Linked DNA regions of Lonchura striata. The protein of the gene in region 1 purifies or fractionates together with the protein of each later gene. This does not show direct contact. Links are inferred from orthologs where the notes say so. Each region holds a gene or a part of one and is shown in the gene's direction. Other genes may lie near its edges.

The links.
Region 2: the proteins of transducin-like enhancer protein 1 (region 1) and FOXG1 purify together in Homo sapiens (affinity purification with western blotting; 3 studies listed by BioGRID and IntAct, with this or other methods). This does not show direct contact. The link is inferred for Lonchura striata from reciprocal best matches to the Homo sapiens genes TLE1 and FOXG1.

The regions. Positions count from the first base shown.
Region 1 is NC_134642.1:25,607,252-25,619,202, reverse strand, and holds the start of transducin-like enhancer protein 1, read left to right. Parts: upstream 1-6,127; 5' UTR 6,128-6,460; coding exon 6,461-6,484; intron 6,485-6,802; exon of another isoform or gene 6,803-6,876; coding exon of another isoform or gene 6,877-6,891; intron 6,892-7,055; coding exon 7,056-7,156; intron 7,157-8,684; coding exon 8,685-8,748; intron 8,749-8,842; coding exon 8,843-8,887; intron 8,888-11,951. UniProt on the Homo sapiens protein: Transcriptional corepressor that binds to a number of transcription factors. Inhibits NF-kappa-B-regulated gene expression. Inhibits the transcriptional activation mediated by FOXA2, and by CTNNB1 and TCF family members in Wnt signaling.
Region 2 is NC_134608.1:27,998,634-28,010,592, reverse strand, and holds FOXG1 (forkhead box protein G1), read left to right. Parts: upstream 1-7,238; 5' UTR 7,239-7,713; coding exon 7,714-9,093; 3' UTR 9,094-10,080; downstream 10,081-11,959. UniProt on the Homo sapiens protein: Transcription repression factor which plays an important role in the establishment of the regional subdivision of the developing brain and in the development of the telencephalon.

The DNA.
Region 1 (11,951 bases):
TCTCTAAAGTATGCTCCAAAATGCTGTGTATTTGATAACATGAATGTTGAGAATTTAACACATTTCAGTTTTAAGCACTCCATTTTGGCTAGCTTTATGTAAGATTACACAACTGACTTTTGACTAAAGGAGCAGATTGGGGGAGGAGAGGGGAGTGTGTGTGGGGAGTGTGTGTGCGTGTGTGTGTGTGTGTGTGTGTGTGTGTGCATGTGTGTGCGCGCGTATGTGAATGTGTGTGGTCTCTTCCTAATTTATTTGCACTTCAACCCACTGGGATCAAGCTGCAATCCCTGTAGGCAAAAGAAGATTAGGGAAAGCGACTGACTGTTTTTTCCCAGACACAGAAGGGAAAATGACTTCTCAAGTACCGCAAGTTTTTCTGGCCACTGTACAAATTGTTCCTTAGTATGGAGAGTTTCCAAAAGACCTAATTAGCAACTCGCTACAAACATTTCTTTGCATTAGCTAATGATCCGGCTACACTTGTAAGCAAACAGTACCAACATATCTAATCAATGCAGAAAACCAACAGAATGCCTATTAAACATCTGGATGTAATTTTCTAGTTAGACTTAGAACAAAATGAAAACATATGCAGGTTTCTTTGATGTATGCCTCAACAAAGAAAGTATCGATAAAAAAAAACACACTGGCCAGTCAATGTGTCATTTTCATAAAGCCTGGTCATTTCTTTTCAGATGTTCCCAGTCTAATTTTTTTTTGTTTCCTGCAATCTCTAATTTTACCATACTGTGTGAAGCCAAAAGGGATTCTTTGGATCTGATTCTATTTGAGGTTTTACTGCTGCACGACCTGCTACTGACTTGTTTTTTTTTTTTAATTCAGCTCAGGGATTTTTTAAGGGTGAAGGAATGAGGGAAATGAATACAGTCATAATGGTAAAATGACCTAGTGCAACTTTTTGAACATTCTTGCCTACAAGGAAAGCTACTAATTAAAAAGAAATCAAATTACTAAGAGGGTATGGAATGGCTATTAGCCAAAAGACAGCAAATAATTAGAAATGTAATTGCTTTACCCTGCTCACATCATTTGCACTTCACAAATATATGAATATTTAAAAAGTGATATTGTTTTGCATGTCCTTATAATAATTACTATTCTTTCAACTGTATAGTCAGTCACTACTATACCACATGTATTGCATGATTCAGGGTTTTTTTTCTATTTTACCTACACCACATTGGCATTAAAACAAACAAACCAAATCCCAAAACAAACAAACCAAACCCTAAAACAAACAAACAAAACAGAATAACCCCCATGCCCCTTAACACATGCATATTTCTTTTTCAGTTGAAAATCCAGTGATCTATCTAAAACTTTGAAAGCATAAACTCTATTGAATTCTAGAACTGTCTCCTCTATTGACTTGCTCTTACTATATATAGAGTAGAAGAGTAGGACAAAACATACTATATTGTTTACTTCTCACCTGCAGCTAACACCTAGTGATTAACTTCATCAACATCTTTGTTTAATATGCCAGTTTGCACAAAGTTAAAAGAATATTGCTCATAAAAAGTACCATGAACAGTGAAGGAAAAGAATAAACAATGCAATAAACAGAACATCATAGTTTTGCTAAGGAATGGATGCTACATCTGAAACTCTTTCAGCGTATTTAACCTACATTTTGGACCCAAGCATGCTTTTTTTTCACTCAAAACTCCAACTGCTTCCAGTGTGAATTTTTGGTAGCCAGTTTAGGATTAGGCCTTTTGCTTTATGAGGTAGGAAGATGACACAAACATTTTTACAGTAAAAAACAATTTATTTCAAACAACAGAGTAAAACGGATGACTGGGCAGAACAGTTGGAAGGGTTAATACTGAAGGAAATATTTTTATTTTTGAAACCTGAGACAGAAATTTAAAAACAAGTATTTTTAATCCAGTTGGAGAATTGTGTAGAGTATATACAGCATTGTGGCAGAATGCTACCTACTTGAATACAACATGCTTAACCATATTTTGCTGCCTTTCTATGGAGTAAATAGTGAATATTGCCATGGAACGAGAATGTTCAGTTTCCTGGAATTAATCCAGATTTATACCCATCCAACAAAACGAATTTTTTTCATGCTTTAATGAGCCAGTGATGATGCATTATAAATTAGTTAAACATCAGATCATGTTGGTTATAATTCCTGCTATGTAATGTCAGTAGCTCTCATTAAAAACAAAACAAAACAAAAACAAAAACAAACAAAAAAAAAGAGCACATTTGATTCTACTTCTGCTTGTACAGCTCTTCTCTCTTAAATACAATGGATAAGATTCAAAATGCCCTTAAGTGTCTGATTCCAGAATCAAAGAAGGTTAAAAGCACTTGTTAATAAGAACCAGGAAAACAGAGCTTTTCTCCTTCTGTTAAAACATGCCTTGGATGTTTTAATGTTGACAAATATAGGTAACATGACATTTCAACTTTCATGTAGGTGAGCAATTAAGAAAAAAACCAAACCCCTTTTGTTTATGTTCCAAAACTTAGTGTTGTTTTAATGTCATATCTGTCAATGTCTCTTTAACAACTTGTGCCAGCAGGTTAAGCAAAGTACAACAAAACTTAGGTAATTGTTACATTATTATAGACTCCATAGCTACTAGATACACACACAAAGTATATAATCATAGTTTGCATTTTTATGGCACCTTTCATCTGAAGATCTAAGTACTTTAATAAGCATTAAGTAATTAAGCTTTCCATTGCCATGAACTGAGCAGTGAGCTGGCTTGTCCAACACAACAAGGGAAGAGCTGGGAACAGAATGCAAGACTTTAAGCTTTGCCTATGCAGGTGGAACACCAGACAAGTTTACACTCCCATCCTGGGAACCACAGTCTATCAAAGCTCACTATCAAGGATATTTTGTCACATCTCTTAGAAACCATTAAAAGTCCATGTTTATTTATGCATTCCCCAGGATGCATGCATATATGCATCATATGCATTAACAGAAACATACAAGCATATGTATAGGTACAGACCCCATTATATATAGACCCCATTATATATAGACCCTATTGTATACATATATACAGACATGCACGGAGACACAGATGTATCAGTGCTCATTGACAAAACTCTGCTGTCCTGGAACAAAGTCCAAACTTTTCACTGCAGAAGACTGAGACAATTTCACTCCCTTTTGTGTTGGATGTTTTTAAGTAAAACTGGGAATACAGAACATTTTGGGAATAATAATGGGAAATTATCACTCTGAAGGAGTAAAGCTTTACTTTGATATTGCAAAACATTAGATTTCCTATCAAATATTAAACACAGAATGCTCTTTCTTTAGGATACAAGATGAACCACAATGTAATTCTAAGGAAGCAATCTCTAAAGGCTAGTGGGGAATTATAAAAAATACCCTTACCATGTTTAAATGATGTGGTTCAACATTCTAAGACCTCTTTTTAGGCAGCACACAAGTATATACCAACAGCAAAAGTGTGTATTAAGGCAATGTCTTAAGTCCAGAGGTATTTCACACTTCATTGTGGAATTCTGCTATGAATAAGGTGCTTGCTAATAGAGGATATGTTTTGAAGTGTACTTCCCACTGCAAGCTATGTCACCATTTGTCATCTCCTCAGCAAGCACACAGAGCCTGTGGAATTTGTTTGACCCTCATCTATCTCAAGTGGGCCTATAAACCAAAGTTATTGACAGCTTTCCTCTATCAGACCCCTCTTAAAAAGAAGGCAGTTTTCCCCAAAGGACAGCTTCCGTGGGATCAGAGGGTCATTCCAACCAACACGGCAGTTGGCGTGCCCTGAGTCGCGCAAGCACGCGGGAGGGCTCATCCTTCCCTCGGCGTTTTCCACGGCGCGTTGTCAGCAGGTGCCGCGGCCCCGCCGCCGCCGTTTGGCGAACGAGGTGGGGCCGTGCGCCCGACCCACCCGCCGCACTGTCACGGGCGTCGCCGCCGCTCTGGGGCTGGGGCGCGGAGCGGGCAGTGCGGGCAGTGCGGTGCGGGCAGTGCGATGAGGGCAGTGCGATGAGGGCAGTACGATGCGGGCAGTGCGATGCGGGCAGTGCGATGAGGGCAGTGCGATGAGGGCAGTGTGATGAGGGCAGTGTGATGCGGGCAGTGCGATGCGGGCAGTGCGATGAGGGCAGTGTGATGCGGGCAGTGTGATGAGGGCAGTGCAGAGCGGGCAGTGCGGAGCGGGCAGTGCGATGCGGGCAGTGCGGAGCGGGCAGTGCGATGCGGGCAGTGCGATGAGGGCAGTGCGATGAGGGCAGTGTGATGAGGGCAGTGTGATGCGGGCAGTGCGATGCGGGCAGTGCGATGAGGGCAGTGTGATGCGGGCAGTGTGATGAGGGCAGTGTGATGAGGGCAGTGTGATGCGGGCAGTGCGGTGCGGGCAGTGTGATGCGGGCAGCGCAGGGGGAGCGGGCGGTGCGGAGCGGGCAGTGTGATGCGGGCAGTGTGATGAGGGCAGTGTGATGCGGGCAGTGTGATGCGGGCAGTGTGATGAGGGCAGTGCGGAGCGGGCAGTGCGATGAGGGCAGTGTGATGAGGGCAGTGTGATGAAGGCAGTGTGATGAGGGCAGTGTGATGCGGGCAGTGTGATGCGGGCAGTGTGATGAAGGCAGTGTGATGAGGGCAGTGTGATGCGGGCAGTGCGGAGCGGGCAGTGCGGTGCGGGCAGTGTGATGCGGGCAGTGCGGAGCGGGCAGTGTGATGCGGGCAGCGCAGGGGGAGCGGGCGGTGCGGAGCTGAGGCGCTGCCCGAGCCGGACGGAGCCGCCCCGCGGCTCCGGCGGAGCCGCCGCGCGCAGGCGCCGCGCGCCCGCTGCCGCAGCCCCGCCCGCGCGCGCGGGCCCCACGTTACTTTGACGGACAGCGCGGCCTCCCCGCTCTCCTTCCCGCCGACCTTCCCCGCCCCCCGCGGCGCCGCGCGCCCCGCGCCCTCCCATTGGCCGGCTCCGAGCGCGGCCGCCGCTCCGCCGCAGAGACGCGGCCCAGCGAGAGCCGGGAGGCGGCGCGACTCCGGCTCCTGCCATTGGGCCGCGGGGCCGCGCCGCGTCACGGGCCCACGTTGGCGGCGGGGCCGGCGATTGGCCGGCCGCCCCCCCGCGCGGCGGCGTGGGCGGGGCCGCGCGGCTGGTTAGCCGGCGGAGTGTGAAACCGCGTGCTAATGTAAGCGGCGCGGGCGAGCTCGGCGTGTCCAGCTCGGCCGCAGCCGCGCTCCGGTCCCGCCGAGCGCCGCCCGCCAGGCCGCCGCCTCGGCTTCTCCTTGCCCTTGGCCGGCGCGGAGGGGCCGGGGCAAAGGAAGCCGGTGGTGTTCCCGTTCGGATTTTTCAGCTGGGAGGAACTTTATCCCGGGCCACCGCGGAGGAGAGCGAGGATGAGGATGATGCTGCTGATGTTGCCGCGATGTATCGCGATAGGGGGGTTCTGGTGAGACGCGCAGCTCCCAGATACGCGCCCGCCAGTAAGAGGCTGTAGTGGTGGCTGTTGCACGAAGGAGCTTCCCGTCTGATTTGAACCTCAAACGAACGCTTTCATTTCTATTTTTTTTTTTCTTTTTTTTTTTTTTTTTAATCTTCCCCAACGGGGCTGGTTGCCTGGAGGCTAAAGCCAGCGAGCATCTTGAGGGGTTTGCTTTCCTTTTGTCCTGGGGACTTCTCTGCAACTAACGGCAGAGTCTGTGCTGCGTGTGTGGTACCCTTTCCTCTGCCCTCCAGCGTTTCGTGCATCTGCTATTGGAGCTGCTCCGATCCGCGACGTCTGTGCGAGAGCCCCCGCCCGCCTCCTTCCTCCTCCTCCTGCCTTCCTCCCTTGTTCATCGCCCTGTGTCTTGCGGGTGGTTTGGCCCCTGCGCCGACGCCTGGGAGCAACGCGTGCCTGCCTGGAGACTTTCTTCGCCCCCTCGGCTTGCGACGCTCCCGCCGCGGACACTGCGATCCCCTCCCTCCGGCTGGATTTTCCCCTTTTGACAAGGGGCAGAAGAGAAGAGTCGCCTCCGCCTGGGGTTTCCGGCCTTACAATCGCATCGACCACTGCGAGCCCGTGAAGGGGATTATTCGCTCCTGCCGAGGGGCGGCTGTTGCCTCCCCCCCGAGCCCCGTCGGGTCCCGTCCCGCCGCGCCCGGGCGTTGCGGGCGCCGCCCGCCGGTCGGAGCGCCGCCGAAAGAGCGCAGAGCGCTGGTGACCGTCCCAAGCGCGGCTCGTCCGCCTTTCCCGGCCATCTTCAGCCCTCCTTGGAACAACAGCAACAAAGGACGCCGCGGCTGGGGAATGTCCCCGCGGCGGGGGCACTGAGCCGCGCCTCGCCCCGCTGCTGCCCGCGGCGGCGGAGGGAAGGCCGTCGGCGGGTGTCGCCGCTCCGGTCCCCTTGGCGCACCGGGTGTGAAGCCGGGGCAGGGCAGGGCGTCTCGCCGCGAGAGCCGCGCTGCGAGGGAGACCCGCCGTGGCCGGAGCCATGTTCCCCCAGAGCCGGCACCCCGTAAGTATGGCTTGGGCCGCCGGTCCGGGGCGAGGGCCGGGCGGTCCGCAGCGCAGCTCCAGCTCGGTTGCTCGGCTGGAACTGGGGGGAGGGAGAGGAAGGTGCCCTCACAAGTTCATTCTCTCCGGGGTCGAGCGGCTAATCCTGCCTGCCGGAACGGCCCCCAGTATTTTTTGTTGCGTGGGCAACTTACTTGCCTTGGGAAGGACGGCGGGGGCTTGCCGCCGGGCCAGGCAGCATCCGCCAACACACAGCGCCCGGAACGGGGCTGGCTGTGCCTCTGCGGCGGGGGTCGGCGGGGAGGAGTCGGCACTTCCCGCTTTCGTGTAGACGGCGGCGGCAGGAGCGGGTGGGTCGGATCCGGAGGGCGGTTAACCTCGGTCCCACCGCAGATGAGGGACGGGAAGGTGGGTAACAAGTGCGCTGCGCCCCGGGGCGGAGGCGGACCGGGCCGGACGCTTTCTCTAGCCCTCCGCCTCGGCCGCGATGGACGGCGCCCCCTCCTCTTCCTCGCGGGGTGGCCGCGCAGTGTCTGAACGTGCATCTCTCTCCCGTGCCGCCACCGCGCCAGACCCCGCACCAGGCTGCGGGCCAGCCTTTTAAATTCACCATCCCGGAGTCGCTGGACCGCATCAAAGAAGAGTTCCAGTTCCTCCAGGCGCAGTACCACAGGTGAGCGGCGGCGGGCCGCCCCGGGACCAGGGACTACCGCGCGGTCCCCGCCGGCGCGGGGCTGCACCGAACGGGCGCGTCCAGGCGGTGGCGTGCGGCGTCGCGGCCGAGCCCCGCGGGGACCCCGCCGGGCCGGGAGGGGAGCGCGGGCGGCCCCGGCCCGGCGCGGGCTGCCGGGGGGACCGGGCGCGCACGGGGGACAGCCCTGCCCTGCGCGGGCCCGTGCTTGAACTGCCGAAACTGGAGCGTTCGGCAGCTCTGTGCGTTTGAAAAAACACGCTGTGTCTTGGGAACCCGTATGTGGAGGGGTCATTTCAGTGTATCACGGGAAGACCTGCGCCGGTTCTGTGGCACAGCGCGTTAAGGAGGCTACTTCTCCTGTTTGCTCATTTGTGTGTGGTGTTAATGCAAAAATTAATAAAATGCCAGCGTCCTGTGGTTGAGAGTCAGGAAGGACGGTTAAAACAAACAAGTACTCAGAGCAGTAACAAAGTTTACCAGAATCCTTGGAAGTTGCGGGATGCACGTCTCGTTGCTGCCCTTCTTTGTGGGTGTGTGCGTGCTGCTGAGGTCCTTCCAGAGATTTAGGGTACAGATTCTTTTTGACCCTGGACATGTGGTGTTAAGGAGCATTAATCTTCACTGATTTTGTACTTATGAGCACCTGGAATATTTGGACAGAAGTAAAAGCTTTACAGGTTTCCCAGTCAGAAATTGATTTGTTTTAGTTATGCTTCCTCTTCCTTTACCTATGATACTGTAGCGTTAACTTGCTTAAGCCATTCATTGCTTAGGAAATACAATTTAAACTCTAAACATCTGGCTTTGTAGCTGTGAGTGAAAAATACTGCTTGCACATGAACTGTTCAATAGGATGTTCACAAGTAACAGTTTTAAAAAAATCAGTTTGATAGAAAACAAAGGGAACATTGAGGCTCTCGGTGAAAGTAGTCAGAATTATATCATGGTTTGTGATGAGACATGTAAATGCAACTTACTTTTGTTTATGAAAACAAAAGTGGAAAAGAAACTTGCCAGTAAACGATACTCAGAATTACCAGTTTTCAAGCACTGGGCAAGGTAACATTTGCTAGAATGTATTTAAGGTAAGAATTATACTCGAGTTGTAATTGTAAATGTGAGTGGTGTTACTTGGCAGTCACTTACTAAATGCTGTGTAGAAAGAAATGCTTCTATTTTTATCTTTTTTACTCCTGAAAAGTACTTACAGTAAATTCAGATCCTATTCTAACTTGCAAGTTGCAGCACTTAATAGCAGCTCTTTGTCAAAATAGGAAGAGTGGATATGTTTAGTTTCTGTAGACAGTTCAGGCCTAATACAGCACTCAAGGCATGTTCTTTAAATTTCTTCTTTGGCCTTTTTATTTCAAGTATGATTAAGTCTTTCTATATTGCAAGTCAGTTTATTATTTTTTTTATTAATTAGCAGCTTATGTCAAAATACAAATAGGGAGGGTAGATGCCAAAAAAAATGACATGTTACATTAAAGCATGATCTATTTTGTAGCCTTAAATTGGAATGTGAGAAACTGGCAAGTGAAAAGACGGAAATGCAGAGGCATTATGTGATGGTAAGTATATTTGTTTTTATCTTTATTTCAATAAATATCTTTTAATATAATGTAAGTCAGCATAAGAAAATAACGTGTACTCATTTATTTGCAGTACTATGAAATGTCGTATGGATTAAACATTGAAATGCACAAACAGGTAAGACATTTTGTTTTCGAAGCCGCAAAATCTGCAGTCTGTCTGGTGCATTTAAATGTATCTGTGCTGTTTATGGTCAGATGACGGTATCGTGTCTGAATCAATAGCCTGATTTGTAGCCTGATTAGTAGTCTTTTGCCTACCTCCTGTCAGATAAGGTGTAGATTAGGTTAAGTGGCAGCACCTTTTTTGGTATTGGTTCTGAAAGACTTTGGCATAAATAGAAAAGATCTTGTAGCTGTGATTTTAAAAATGCAGTTCAGTTCTTTGCAAGTATGAGATATTTTGAGTTGGGTTTCTTTTTGTTTGTTTGTTTTGTTACTGGTATAGGCGCTGACATGTAGAACTGATCCTGTGTCTGTGTAACATATGTAGTCATAGTTACTCATATCCCAGCCTTATAGAGGTATGAACAGATTAGTGACTTGGAAAGATCTAGTTATGACTATGAGTTTGCAAGTTCCCATAAAATTCACACTTATGGCCACTATAATGGTGAATAAAAAGAGTATTGAACTGGAACAAGACACTAAGGACCTCATAAGAGAAGAAAAGCTAAATGATTGCACAGCCCAGAGGACCCTCAATTGAGTAGTCATTGTCTGCCAAATAAAGCATTAATGGCAGGGTGTAAGTATTCTGTAGATATGCTGACATTCACTTTTTCATCAAGATGCTAGTACAATAAGTCTTTCAGAAATCGATGGCCTCTTAAAAAAATTATCATTAGATGAAGTTGCGCAGTTGGACACATTTCAAAGTGCAACAATACAATTCTTTCTTGATGTGTATGTGCTATTTCATCTAAAACTCTTGTTTCATTAAATTAAAGAGCATGGCTGACCGGCTAGGGCACAGCGAAGAAATTGATTAGTTCAGGCTTCAGATCTTCAGTATATTCAAAGACATTCATTAAGCAAGTGAATTACGGAGTTGAATTTTGCTTTTGTAACTCTGAACTCTTTGAATTTTTTTTTTGTTTGTTTTGTTTTCCCCTAAAAATACCATATTTGGTAGGATGGCATTGTAATTCCATGATAGCTTTCTATCTGCAAATCTGGGTAGGTATTCTTTAAGGATTTAGAAGGTTTTTTGCTTGTTTCAATTCAAAACACCATTAAAAGAAGTAACACAGAGTTTACCAGACTCCATCAAACTTGTGTGATGCACTCCTTGTTGCTTCTCTGCCCTTCAGATTTATTTTTTTAAAATAATGCACCAAATAACCTGATGATACAGCAAGCTTAGTATTTGACTGGGTTCTGTACTGTAGCTTAACAAATGTTCTTGTGGCTTGTGTTTTAGAAGAATGTCAATTTTTCTGTGAGGTGATTTTTCTGATCTTTGTGCTTTCAAGATTTTTTTCTTGCATTTTTTTCTCTTCAACAACTTCTTGGCATAATGTAACCCCTGAAGACGCCAGTATCTGTATAGGAAGATCATTTGCTGCAGAATGGATGTTATTTTAAGGAGCTCTTTGAAGAGAATGTGTGATTTCAGTTAGTGTACTAGGAATTAACTTTAAGTAAAATCAATTAAACCTGCAGGATTAAAGTGGGTGAGAACTAAGGTTCCCACTTTGACCTTAACATATGTATAAAGGTTTAATGTTCTGTATGTATGGCAATTAGAATTATGTACCCAGTAGGCGGTGATACTTCGGAAGCTTTTAAGATTTATGACAGAGCATTATATCTGTGTTAGTTGTAGCTGGGGAGAATAGTGCACACTTGCTCTGTGCATGCTGTTAAGAAAATAATAGGCTTTTGAAGGTATAAATACATTTCTCTGGATGTGAGTGTCAGATACTATGCTTTTACATGTTAAGTAATTCTAATTTCTGCTTCATGCTAAAGGCTATTGATTTAGATGCCTCCAGTGAGGATGCCAAATGGTGTTGCAGTTTAGTATGTAGGTGGCCTTAGATTACAGGAAGAAAAAAAAAAAAAAAAAAAAAAGAAATCCTAACAATGACATTCTTCTGAATTTCCACTGCTAACGATAAGTTCTGAGGAGTCTTTTGACAGATAGTAATCATAATTCTTATTAACTGGTGACGTCTACCCCCAAGGGTGTAGCCAGGCTCAAATTGATGCTTTTTGCTGGCTGATCACCAGCATGGCCTAAGTGCTCATTATGTTGTAGAAAGGGCCTTTGGAGCTCTCATTACGTTTGACAGGAATTCTCTCTAGGGGGAAACTGGGCATTAGCTAGACTCCTGACAGGCTGAAATGATTCCTGCTTTATGGCTTATAACCAAATGCTAGCAAGGCATCATCAGGGGACAAGAAAAATTGTCATTTCTGACAACATCTTTGTTACTGGAAAATGCAGTGATGGGGATACTTTCCAGTGAACAAGCTTTAACATTTTTAAGGTCTCCCTCCTGTTTGGATTCTGTACTTGCTCTGTGTGAAGCTCTTCAGAGTGCTTGGGCTGGTGTTTGAAAAAAAATTACACTGCATCAGAGTTTATTTATGGAGTGTGGTGTGTACATCACTGTTAAGGCACAGTCACTTAGATAGAATTAAGTACTTGCAGTTAGCCTGCATGTAAATGAGTTTGAGTTCTTGCACCGATGGATTTGTGTCAGCACTTCTGTCTTTGTTTAATTTAGTAATCAGTTACAATTTAACTAAAATAAAGTTAGTCAAGACTTCAGTGTTGTTATAAACAGACTTAAGTGAGATGAACTTTGCATACACAAACAGCAGACCTTTTCACTTGAATATGTTGCATTTAAGTCCAGAAATGGCCACAGAAAGACTTCCCTCTCAAATTTAGCTTTGGCCCTTTGCAATGTTTAACTGAGTGATGTGTGCTTAAATCAACGTGCTGCTTTGTATCAACCTGCTGGCTGAATAGTGACCAGGAAATAATCTTTTTGACACATTTGTGTCTGGTTTAGACTTGTTTTTGTTTGTTTCCTTCTTTTTCTGCATCGGCTTTTAATTTAAGAATTCCAGAGTTTTTTTATTAAGAGCATGTTTTATGTAGACACACCATATTCGTAGAAATTATTGTAAGGTGAATAGTTAGTGACCAAGTTTTTCATCCCTAAAAC
Region 2 (11,959 bases), on another chromosome or scaffold:
GGGAGGAGGAAAACAAGCTGTATATAAAAGGCATATCATATTAAAATAATACATGGACACACCCACTGATATCAAGGGTACGATATCAGCCCTTCCCCAAGAAACTTATTTCTAAGTGGTAGCGGTTATAATCATCCAACAAGCCCCTCGCCATCACTCCCCCCTCCCTCCTCTAAAGAAAGGAAGAATGAAAGAAAGAAAGCATGGAGACCACCCTGCCCGACATAAAAAGTGTTCAGAATAAGCTACACAAAGAGGCAGATCCTGCGAGCCCTGCTTGTGCCAGGACACCAAGGAGCGGGCAGGGTCCGCTTCCCGAGCAGCCTCATTGGCGCTAGCGCCAGCCCCATCATCCCGACACCCGCCAAGCGCGGGTCCGGCCGCGAGCGAGGAGCGGCACCTCGCTCCGGCACCTCCTCACGCCTGAGCCCCGACACGGGGAAAGCCAACAGCATCGCTACTCCCAGGCTGCCGAACGCCTTCTCCTAGAGCGGCGCGCAGTCGACTGTGGCTTTCTTTGTACACCGGGCATTTCGCTGTGGTTACAAGGGGACCGGGGCGGGGAAGATAGAAAGATAGGGGAGAATGACGCGCTTTTGTAGGCCCCAAAATATGGATCTGCAGCTGACCCGGCCGAGTCCGAGAGCCCGCCGAGCCGGGGGCTGCGGCGGAGGCGCGGTGCGGGGACTGGGCCGCGGCGCACGGAGCAGCGGCGAGCGGGCAGCGGCGGGCGCGGCACGGCCAGGTAGGACGGGCGGATGGGCACCCCCGGGCACCGGCGCCCCCCCGCGCCCGGATGCCTTTGGCGGAGCGACGGAATGGGAACGGCGCTGGGAGAAAGAGACAGACCCTATCTCGCCTTCTGCTGAGGAAGGGGTGGAAGCCGGGGAGGGGGGGCGGGTGGAGCGGGGGAAAGGGCGTCTTTTCTCTCGAGTCACCGAAAAACTGCAAAGCCAGATTCGTGTGTCATTTGCCAAAGATTACGTTTATAGGAGGCTGAAGAGCTTTAGAACAACACCATGAAATTATACCAGCAACAGTTTCTTAGGAGTCAAAGAGCAGCTAGAGGTCTTCTTCAAGCACTACTTGGGGTTTGTTTTGTTGCTTTTCTTTTTTCTCCCCAGGTCTTTCTTTTCCCCCTGTATTTTATTTCACATTCTTTGCTTCAATATCACAACGCCGACAAAAGCACCGGCCTAGAACATTTTAACAGTAAACCCAACAGAAATAAAATTATGTCTTTAAATCTGGAGAACAGAACTAGGTTTTTAACTTTTACATTTCTCCCTTGCATTTTATTATAATCGTCTGCATAACGCTGTGGATAATTCTTAAAGGATATTTTATATTTTTGTTTGATTTCTGAATTAAGGAGAGCTTGTGTTACACAAGACAGACCTACTGCCTGTGCAGGTGTAATGGCTCTTTTCTGCACACCGGCATATTTTTTAAAAGCGATATATAGGATCTAAAAGCCCGCAGGTCTTCAAGTTGGCAGTGAGTATAAAAATATTCTGTTCTGAAAAATTCCGGCAGTGGCAGCTGAACACAATAAATCTAGTGGATGCTCTACACTCCCTAGATAGGCTTTCTGTGGATGGCATTCTATAGCTACAGGAATAAATAAATAAAATCTTCAGCTTTTAATTAAGGCGATTTAATTCAGACCTCTCCACTCAGCGTAGTCGCCGTGGGAAATGTATACTCCAATGTTTACCCGGATCTCTTTCTGTCACTATTCTGTCTTGTTTTACGCTTACGACATCAGCAAAGCTTTCTGGCCCCTACAGCCATTGTTTCCCATTTCGACGTTCTCCGTTGAACCTCTGCCCGCCCAAGAAACTCCCTAAAGTTCAACGGGAGGGAACTCAGTGCACTTAGTTTATTAATGTCATTGTTTTAAACTCTACCTCTCCCCTAGTTGCTCAGGCTTCTCCAAGGTATACAGTGCCCCGCTGGCGGTTCTTTTTGGTACAGTGCAGCCTCTCAAAAGATCATCGGATGGAGAAACTTAGCTCTTTTTGAAACATTTAAGTAACTGAGCAATTAGTTCTGAATGGGGTGGGGGGAGGGAAGACTAGAGAGCTTAAATGGGGGGGGGGGGGGGGGCAGGGGGGAGACACACAGTACAGCTAGCCCAAAAACAACAGGGATGTGTATGCATGGGAGGGAAACTTAAAAGGTTTGTATTTAAAGTGTGCTTGCAAGGTCTTCGGCACAATATGTGCTGCTCTCCTCAAAGGGGCACCGACTGCCAATAACCATTAGTCATCCAGTAAGGACCTTTCATTACAGATTTATCTTTAGGGGCATTTCCCAGAAGGGAACATAGCTGCGGATTTCAAACCCGGTCCAGTTCCAGTTACACAGTGCGTACCTGCTGCAATAGAAGGGAGAGATACTTACCAGAGTTTCGGGAACGCGCGGATAGCACCAAGGTCTCTGCAGTGCTCCTTTCCTCTGCGGAATACTATCTTGCATCCGAGGCAGTTCCCAGTCTATATTTGATATTAACAGCCTCAAATACGAGGCTCTCCCATAGACATTTTTTTCCAGGGTTTTCAAGCAAATTTCTCGGTGCCACAATGTTATGATGGAAGGATGCTGAAATGACAGGCCTTGTAGACGCTTGTCTTAATCATCGGCTTCTTAATTTAGTTTTAGTGCTGTGGTTTTGTGTGTGTGCGCGTGTGTGTCTGCGCTTGTGTGCGCGCAAGAGAAGCCTCTGACAACCTGCAGCTTCCTAATGACTGACGAGGCAGGGCTGCTGCAGCAAAGTAACACTTCCCTGGTGTGAAGACCTCTTACTGGGAAGTTTAGTTCACTACTGTTCTCGCAATCCTAATCGTATAACTTGTAACTAAAACCCATGGAAGAAGGATATAGCATGCTAAATAGACTAACTTCTAATCACTAGAAGCTGTTGAGGATTAACTGGAAGCTGGCTAGAGGCGGACACCTAAACTTAAATCTACAAATGCAGAGAGAAGTCTGGACCATTGAATGCTTCTTCCTCTCCCTCTTTGCCTCCATTCATCCATCCACCTTCAGTCCCATTCACCCCTCTTCAAAATGTTTGACTACCTCTCTCTCTTTGTTAGCGCACTGCTCCGTCCCCATTCGCCATGCCTTAGCAGCAGGATATCAGTATCTGCTGAGCAGTCCTTACCTTAATTGCCCAGGTAACCTGGAATAAATACGGCAAGCTTATAGTCAAGGGGGAATAGAATTATATAAGCGTACATGGAGGCATTTACTGTACCGAATATGATATTACTGATTGTTAAACCAAAGTGTCCGGACTCGTTTCATGGAAGCATGATGCCATCGAAGCGTGGTTACTAAATACCCTTTCTTCATGGCTGAAAAAAAAATCTCATTCATTTCTTAAGCTGTCAGTACATTTTAGCAGCTTAACCGCCTTGAAAAAGCCCGAGAGTACCGAGCCACTATACCCGTGTGAAGGGGGATTGAAGGCTGAAGCTGGGGCGGGGGGCGGTGCAAGGGAAGTACGCTATATGCATTAAGTGTACATTGGAGAGGGTGTTTTCTTCTTTTGGCCTTTAATTTTAAAACGAAATAAAAATAAAATTAAAAAAAAAAAAAAGTAGGGGGGAAGGCGTGGGCAGAAAAGTATGTGGTTGAAACATTATCCCTAAGAGTTATACCCAAGAGCTGCACGGAGATCGCTGCTGAATGGCACTTCAGCCAGGACGTTTCAGCTCAGCTATTCAGCCCCATCCTGACCCCGGAGTGGATACCCTCAGTCCATCCCCGCCGCTCGGTTCGGTGGATCCGCAGCCTCGTTGAACGTGCAGGTGAGGCATCATTAACACTCTGCAGAGAGCCGGCTCCCCTCTGCACACCCACCCGTATTTCACAGGGCTGGGGCTGTGTGCCTCCGTTCCACGCACAAGCTTCTATTCCAAACACTCCACAAACCCTGCCCTGTTAGAAAATGCTGCCATGAGGGGTTTTCTTAAGAGAATTCGGGTTTAGCCAGAGTTGAGCGGTCAAACCTGCTGTTCATACAGCGCCCCGATGCACAAAGGTACCACTGAAGTGGAGTCGTGTTCAGGGCAGAGCTCAGGAAGGAACTGGCATTAGAGTAAGACTCCTGCATTTCCAAAGTAAATAGTTTTATAAACGATGCCTTTTCTGCCAAAAAAAAAAAAAAAAACCAAACAAAAAAAAAAACTCGAAAGTTAAAGTCCAGTTATAATTGACGTGGCTTCTCTCACATATCTTTTTCTCTCCCGTAAACAATGAATTAATCTTCATGGACGTAAAAAGATATGTACTACATATTGGACAAACATTTCCTTTTTTGGTAGAACTGTATATTCACAGCATTAAAAAAATATATATATATAAATCCTAAGTTTGTGCACAGAGTTTTATTCCGCACCCATAACAAATGACCAAATGTTAAATCTAGATCGTCAAATGTTTTTAAAGTGTGCTTCTTGCAGTGTTAGCCTTTTGCTCGGAAATGCAAAAAAAGATAAAACTTCTATTTTCTTCCCTGCTACATTTTCATCGCTGATCACAACACAAAGTAAACTCAGCTTTGACCTAAGAAACACCTCAAGGCATTAAAATTTCAACAGGCAATGTCAGTGTTACATTAAACAAGAACTCCTCCAGTTCGCTACAGAGCTGGGATTTGAATAAAACGTTCAATGTTAACAAACAATACACACGTTTGGCACTTTGTGTATTAAATGGATCAAAGAGATTTGATAAGGCACAATACACCATTTGTACAGACCTGATTGAGTTAATATAATATCAGCAAATTTTACAACGAAATGAATCTGTTTCTTTTCTTTGTGTTTAAAACCACCACAGATTACAAATTTTAATGATCTGAAAATGTTTGGTATACAAAATCATGCTTATTTCAGTATTAGCAAAAACACAAGAAATTTTTCAACACAAACACCCAGCTGTGTCTATTTTAAAAGCAGTTCAATGACAGCTTGCACTTATGAGCATGCAATCAGCTAATTTCGCTTTTTTTTTCTTCTGTGTTAATCAACACTTTCCTTCCTGCATATCAGAGTACAAATAGTATAGTTACTCCACATCAGTAAATGTTTATGTAACCTGTCCTTTCTCAAGAATCTGGTTACACCGAATCATTACATGCTAGACCGAGTAGGAAAACGCACTGGGCCCAGCCACCCTAATGGGATCCTAGTGCACCATAATGACACATATTAGTTAATGATCATCATAATCATAATAATACGCAGGAAGCTTACCTTTCCTCTTACCCCTTGCTATGGTAAAGTCAGATAATATCCTCCTCATTGCACTCTTCGTCAAGAAATCCCATACATTGACTTCAGTGTTGAGAAACGAAATAATTATAAATTGTCTTGATAAAAAAAAAATACAAAACAAACAACCTGAATTTCTAAAAAAAAAAAAAAATCCAAACTAAACAACAAAGAAAAAAAGAGTGGTTGTTGATCATTAACTTGTGTGTGTGTGTGTCAGTAGCAACCTGTTATGAAATTGGTTAAATAAATACAATTGTGGTAAGGTCATTCGAGGTTAATCCAATGCCCAGAGTTCATGCCATCCCCAATTGCAATTGTTTATTACCGGTCCATTTTACTTGTCCTCGTTATTTACACTCTCTTTCCCACACTCGCTTTTCCTCCCTCCCTCGTACACAGACATACACAAACACATATATAAAACGCGCGTCTACACATCTGCACAGAACTACATTCATTGCATTGTGCTCTAACCTGAATTTCCTTGGGATAAGTTGTTTTAGCTGGGGTTGAGCTGCACGCATTGTTTCTACGGAGCATCTTTTCCTCCAGCACAAACGTGAAGCAGCTTAACGCGGTGCTAGAGGTTTACCACAGCTTTGGTCTGAATGCGATCAGCACGCTCTCTGTCCATTACATTTCCCCTTCTTTCCGAGTTAAGAAAGCTGCGCGATGTATTTCACTTTGTTTTCGCTTGTTTTTGGTTTTTTTTTTTTTTTTTTGTTCCCGTGTTGACAGTATAAACCGATATGGTGTGGACGATTAATACCCAACCCTTTGGTCCTGGCAAAGCGCAGCCGTAAACCCGAGCCTGTATCACCGCGTCTACTTGTGGAAAGCGGCGGTGCCAGACCCTTTCCCTCCCCAGGAGAACCCGGCCTGCTGCCGCCCGCCCTATCCCTTATCCCAGCAAAACTAAACCCCGCGGAACTCAGACCCCGTGGCCAGGCCCACGGGCCGGGCCGGCAGGAAACCGCAGTGTCGATTTCATGGGCTACCAACACCAACATTTATTTTGTACGCCCGTGCGCGGCCTGTGCGCTGGCTCGGTCAGCCCGGCAGCGCCGAGCAGGAGGCGGCCGCAGCCCGGCGCCGCGCGGGGGAAGCGCCGCCCGAGCGGCAGCGGCGCGGGGCTGAGGGGCGGGAAGCGCGAAGCCCGGCTCCGGCCTCGGTGACACGGGGCGAGAGCAGGGCAGGAGACGGGCCGCTCGCTCCCGAGCCGCCCAACTCACAGTCCGGAGAGCGGCGGGCACGGCCCGGGCGGCCCGGTCTTCCCCAGGCAGGCCGCGGGCAGCGGCGTCCGGGCCCCGGCCGCTGCCGCAGCCCGGGCGGGTCCCGCCGCCCGCGTCCCCTCCGGACGATTGTTTTGTTTTCTGCCTCGGCAAAATAACAAACAGAAATAGCCGGGCCTGGGAAAATAAATTCGCCGAGCGACTTCGGCGGGATCCGCGAAGTAGTACCTCCGCCGCCACCGATGTGCCACGACCGCTTCACCCACCCGGCCTCCCACCCCGCCTCCTTCGTCGCCAGAGGAAGGGGCAAAGCGGATCGTGGCAACTCGAGTCCGCCGGCGGAACCGGGGGAGCGGCCGGGCCGGGCCGGGCCCGCCGCGGCGGGACGGGCGCGGGTTGTTGGGCGCGGGGGGATTTGTGCTGGCGGCGGCGGCCGGGGGGGCACGGGGCGGGGGGCGCGCGCACCGCGCGGTGATGCGCCCCTGCGCCGGTATCCCTGCGCCGCGGGAGCCGCGGCGGCGGCGGGGGCGGGGCGCGCGGGGCGGGGCGGGGCGGGGCGGCGCGCCGCCATTGGCCGGCGGGCGGGCAGACGCGCGGGCACGCCGCCGGCCCTGATTGGGCGGCCGGTGGGAAAGGTTAAACCAAAAAATGTTTTACAGCCCCGGTGCGTGCCGGCAGCTCTGAAATTAATTGCGGCCGGGGCGGGCTGTATCGCCCGTCTGCCTCGCTCCGCGCCGGCCCGCGGCGGCTGCTGCTCCCTCCTGCCTCCCCCTGCGCTGCCGTGCCGGGGGAACCGGGCACCATGAAGTAGCTTTTTTTTTTTTTTTTTTGGTGTGTCTGTGTTTGTGTGTTGTTGCCTTTTTTTTTTTTTTTTCTCTTTAGGTTTCAGAAGGTTTTTTTCCTTTTCTACCTTTTTTTTATTTTTTTTCCTCCGCTCCGGCTCGGTTTGATTTTTCTCTGATCGGTGATTATTATTACCATTATTTTTTCCCTCCCCGGCGGTTCCTGTCCGTGCTACATGACTTGCCAGCGCTTGAGACTGCGGTCCAACTGCGCTGCCGCCGCCGCCGCCACCGCCGCCGGTGGTGCCGCCGCCGCCTCGGCCACCGCCACCGCTTCGGCCGCCGCCTCCGCCGCCGCCCCGCGCGCAGCTCCCTCAGCCGCCGCAACTTTCCCCCTCAGACTAGTGTGTGATGTTGGACATGGGAGATAGGAAGGAAGTGAAAATGCTGCCGAAATCCTCCTTTAGCATAAACAGCCTGGTGCCCGAAGCCGTCCAGAGCGACAACAACCACAGCAGCCACAGCCACCACAACAGCCACCACCCCCATCACCACCACCATCACCACCACCACCACCACCACCCGCCGCCGCAGCAGCCCCAGCGAGCGGCCGCAGCCGAGGAGGAGGACGAGGAGAAGGGGCAGCACCTCCTGCCGCCCCCCACCGCCACCGCCTCCGGCGCCCTGGAGGTGGCCAAGGCGGACATGCTGGCGGGCAAAGGCGAAGCGGGCGCGGCGGCGGCGGCGGCAGCGGAGCTGGAGGAGAAGGAGAAAGCGGCCGAGGAGAAGAAGGGGGCGGCGGAGGGGGCCAAGGACGGGGAGAGCGGGAAGGAGGGGGAGAAAAAGAACGGCAAGTACGAGAAGCCGCCGTTCAGCTACAACGCGCTCATCATGATGGCCATCCGGCAGAGCCCCGAGAAGCGCCTCACTCTCAATGGCATCTACGAGTTCATCATGAAGAACTTCCCATACTACCGGGAGAACAAGCAGGGCTGGCAGAACTCCATTCGGCACAACCTCTCGCTCAATAAGTGCTTCGTCAAGGTGCCCCGCCACTACGACGACCCGGGCAAAGGGAACTACTGGATGCTGGACCCCTCCAGCGACGACGTCTTCATCGGGGGCACCACCGGCAAGCTCCGCCGGCGCTCCACCACCTCTCGGGCCAAGCTGGCCTTTAAGCGGGGCGCCCGGCTCACCTCTACCGGACTGACATTCATGGATAGGGCAGGATCCTTGTACTGGCCTATGTCCCCCTTCCTCTCCCTGCACCACCCCCGGGCCAGCAGCACTTTGAGTTACAATGGGACCACGTCCGCCTACCCCAGCCACCCCATGCCCTACAGCTCAGTGTTGACTCAAAACTCCTTGGGAAACAACCACTCCTTTTCCACGTCTAATGGGTTAAGTGTTGATAGACTAGTCAATGGAGAGATACCTTATGCCACTCATCACCTCACAGCAGCAGCTCTGGCCGCCTCAGTGCCGTGTGGCTTGTCAGTTCCCTGCTCCGGCACCTATTCCCTAAATCCCTGCTCTGTAAATCTCCTAGCAGGACAGACGAGTTACTTTTTCCCCCATGTTCCTCACCCTTCAATGACTTCTCAAAGCAGCACTTCAATGACGGCCAGGGCAGCCTCCTCCTCCACGTCGCCACAGGCGCCCTCCACTCTCCCCTGTGAGTCCTTAAGACCTTCTTTGCCAAGTTTTACAACGGGACTTTCCGGAGGACTTTCTGATTATTTCACACATCAAAATCAGGGGTCTTCTTCAAACCCTTTAATACATTAACATCCATGGGATCAGACTGTAAGTGAACATTTTACACACATTTGCATTGTAAATGATAATTAAAAGGAAAAAAAAAGCAAAACAAAAAAGTCCAGGTATTTTTTATTAAGTCCCCCATTTTCTGTACGTTTGTTCAGTCTTTAGGGTTGTTTATTATTCCACCAAGGTGAGGAGTGTCAGCAAGGTGCAATGTGGGGAGATTGCATTGTAGACTATGAAGTTTGGAAGACAAAATTATAGTAGAATGTGTATCTAAATAGTGACTGCTTTTGCAATTTTTTTACTCAAATATGATAAGTCTATCACTAAAAGCCACCCGATTCTCCATGTTTGCAGTATTATAAGTTATCATGGATATGTCGGTGGGTGCAGACCGTGAAAGGAAAAAAAAAAACCAAATCAAACTACTAAATTTATGAAAACTATTAAAGAAACCTTAAAACATAATTTGTATTTAAGCAGAATTAATACTGAAAAATGCCCAAGATCTAGTTTTGGCCATTTATTATTTTATTTTTTTCTTTACCGAATTGCTTTTTTTTTTTTTCTTTTTTTGTTCATTTGTTTGTTTGTTTACTTTTAGACCAAAGATTGGGTTTTAGAAAATGCACTCAGTGTACGAAGTAATTTAAAAAACAGCAACATTATTTCAGTTTTCAGCACTGCCCGTTCAAATGAATCAGAAGGGGACAAAATTAATGATTGCCTTCAGTTTGTGTTGTGTATATTTTGATGTATGTGGTCACTAACAGGTCACCTTTATTTTTTTTCTAAATGTAGTGAAATGTTAATACCTATTGTACTTATAGGTAAACCTTGCAAATATGTAACCTGTGTTGCGCAAAAGCCGCATAAATTTGAGTGATTGTTAATGTCGTCTTAAAATTTCTTGATTGTGATACTGTGGTCATATGCCCGTGTTTGTCACTTACAAAAATGTTTACTATGAACACACAGAAATAAAAAAATAGGCTAAATTCATATATACTTGATAGTTTTTTTGTCTCTTTTATTAACCTTAATGTGGCAGAGGCTTTAAAGTTACAGTGAGATCAGAGTGCTGCTTATTGCACAGTCCACCATTTTTCACATGCTCCTTTCTTTCTCCCCCCGCCCCCTCCCATGCTGTCTTTAACTGCAGTATTTTCAAATGTAAAGGATCAAGGTATTTAGTCAATCACTACGGCCACTATTTTGATGTCCATTTTGGGGCAGAACTCTTATAAAATCTGCTTTAAAATTGTTAGTAGGAGGCAGGGTGTTTTACTAAAATCTGACTTAGGCTGAAAATGCTTAGCATTGCATATGTATGCAAATATACATGCATACGTATACAATTTAAGTATATAAGCACACGTTGGGAAAAAGGCCAAGGTGCATTATTCTATACGTACGTGTTCTTCCTGCAATCTCTGAAATGCATTCAAAGACTTACTGTACTGAAATAAATTAATTTCGTCTCTGATGATTCGAGATATATTAGCAAAGGATGTGTATGTGTGCGTATACACACACACATATCAGCTATAATATGATCGTTCGACCAAATTTAACCAGCTATGATATGTGTGTGTATAAAATATAACCCTTGTCTTAAAGGAGGGCTCTTCCGGAAGTGTCTAGGCTGTATGTATTTATGTACTTTCCGTGCTGCGGACACTTTGGCTTTAGGAATGGTGCAAGTAGCGGTATTTTTTGGCAGCCGGCTCTCCGCTGTGCCCCTCCGGCCGGGCGGGGGGGCAGGAGCCGAGCAGGGCGAGGTGAAGGCGCAGTCCACGGCAGGGAGGCAGGGCGCCGGGGCCTCACGTGACACCCCGCCTTGCATACCGATGTTTAAACGTTTTAGGGGGTAAAAACCACCAACCAACCAAACAAACAAACAAAAATAAATCAACAAATCAAACCTGTGTGGATGCACTTACATGTAAAGTTTTGAAAACTCGTCTCTTTTTCTCTCAGTGCCCGCTGAAGCCCAGTAATTCACGCGGGCGTCCCTAAGAAAGCTGCGTTGCCCGGAGAATCAATCTCTTAGTTTCGAGGGGGCAACGCTGCTAGTAATTTTAAGACGCATTTAATCCTCGAAAGAATTGGTGTCTTGATGAGTTTAGGGAAGCCTGTAAAGGCCACAACTCTTGAAAATAATTAGAAAACTTGTGCAAAAGGTTTAGGAACTAATTGGATCCCGCGGTGAGTCCGCAGAGGACAAGTTGTTCATTTGTTACGTTTGTAGCCCAAACTGAGCTCTGCAGCAGTGCAATAAAACGGCGACTGCTCACAATAGGCCGAATGAAAAATAATCTCTAGGTCGGAGATGTTATCGCAAACGCTTTAAAGAGCTTATCTTGGAAAGACAGAAAAGAGGAAGAAAAAGGAAAAAAAATGCCAGGGGGTGAATAATGAAGCAGTAGAAAATCTGAATTCTCGCAAACGTGTATTTGTCGTGCTGAAAGAATAAGGGGAGGAAGAGGGTATCTCCCGAAAATAAGTAATATATAAACAGATGCAAACAGATCTACAGGAAAGAGAGAGAAGTGAAAGGTTATGGATGAGAGATGGGACACCCTGCTTTGCACTGTGTGGGGGAGAAGGAGAGAACTCTCTGATATTCTTAGCTTTCACTCTCACTCCTGCAATTCAAAATTAATCATCACTATGAGAAAACGATTGCTTTGTTTGGGGATGGAGAGATGATACCACCACTTGGAAGCTCCTACCCTCCCCCATTTTCTTGACTCTATTGTCATTAAAACAAGTGATGCAAAAAAAAAAAAAAAAAAAAAAATCAAAAACTCTTTTTCAACAAAACTATAGGAAATAATAAAATACAATAGGTGTGATTTAAATACTTGAAGCCTAGAGTCCTCAT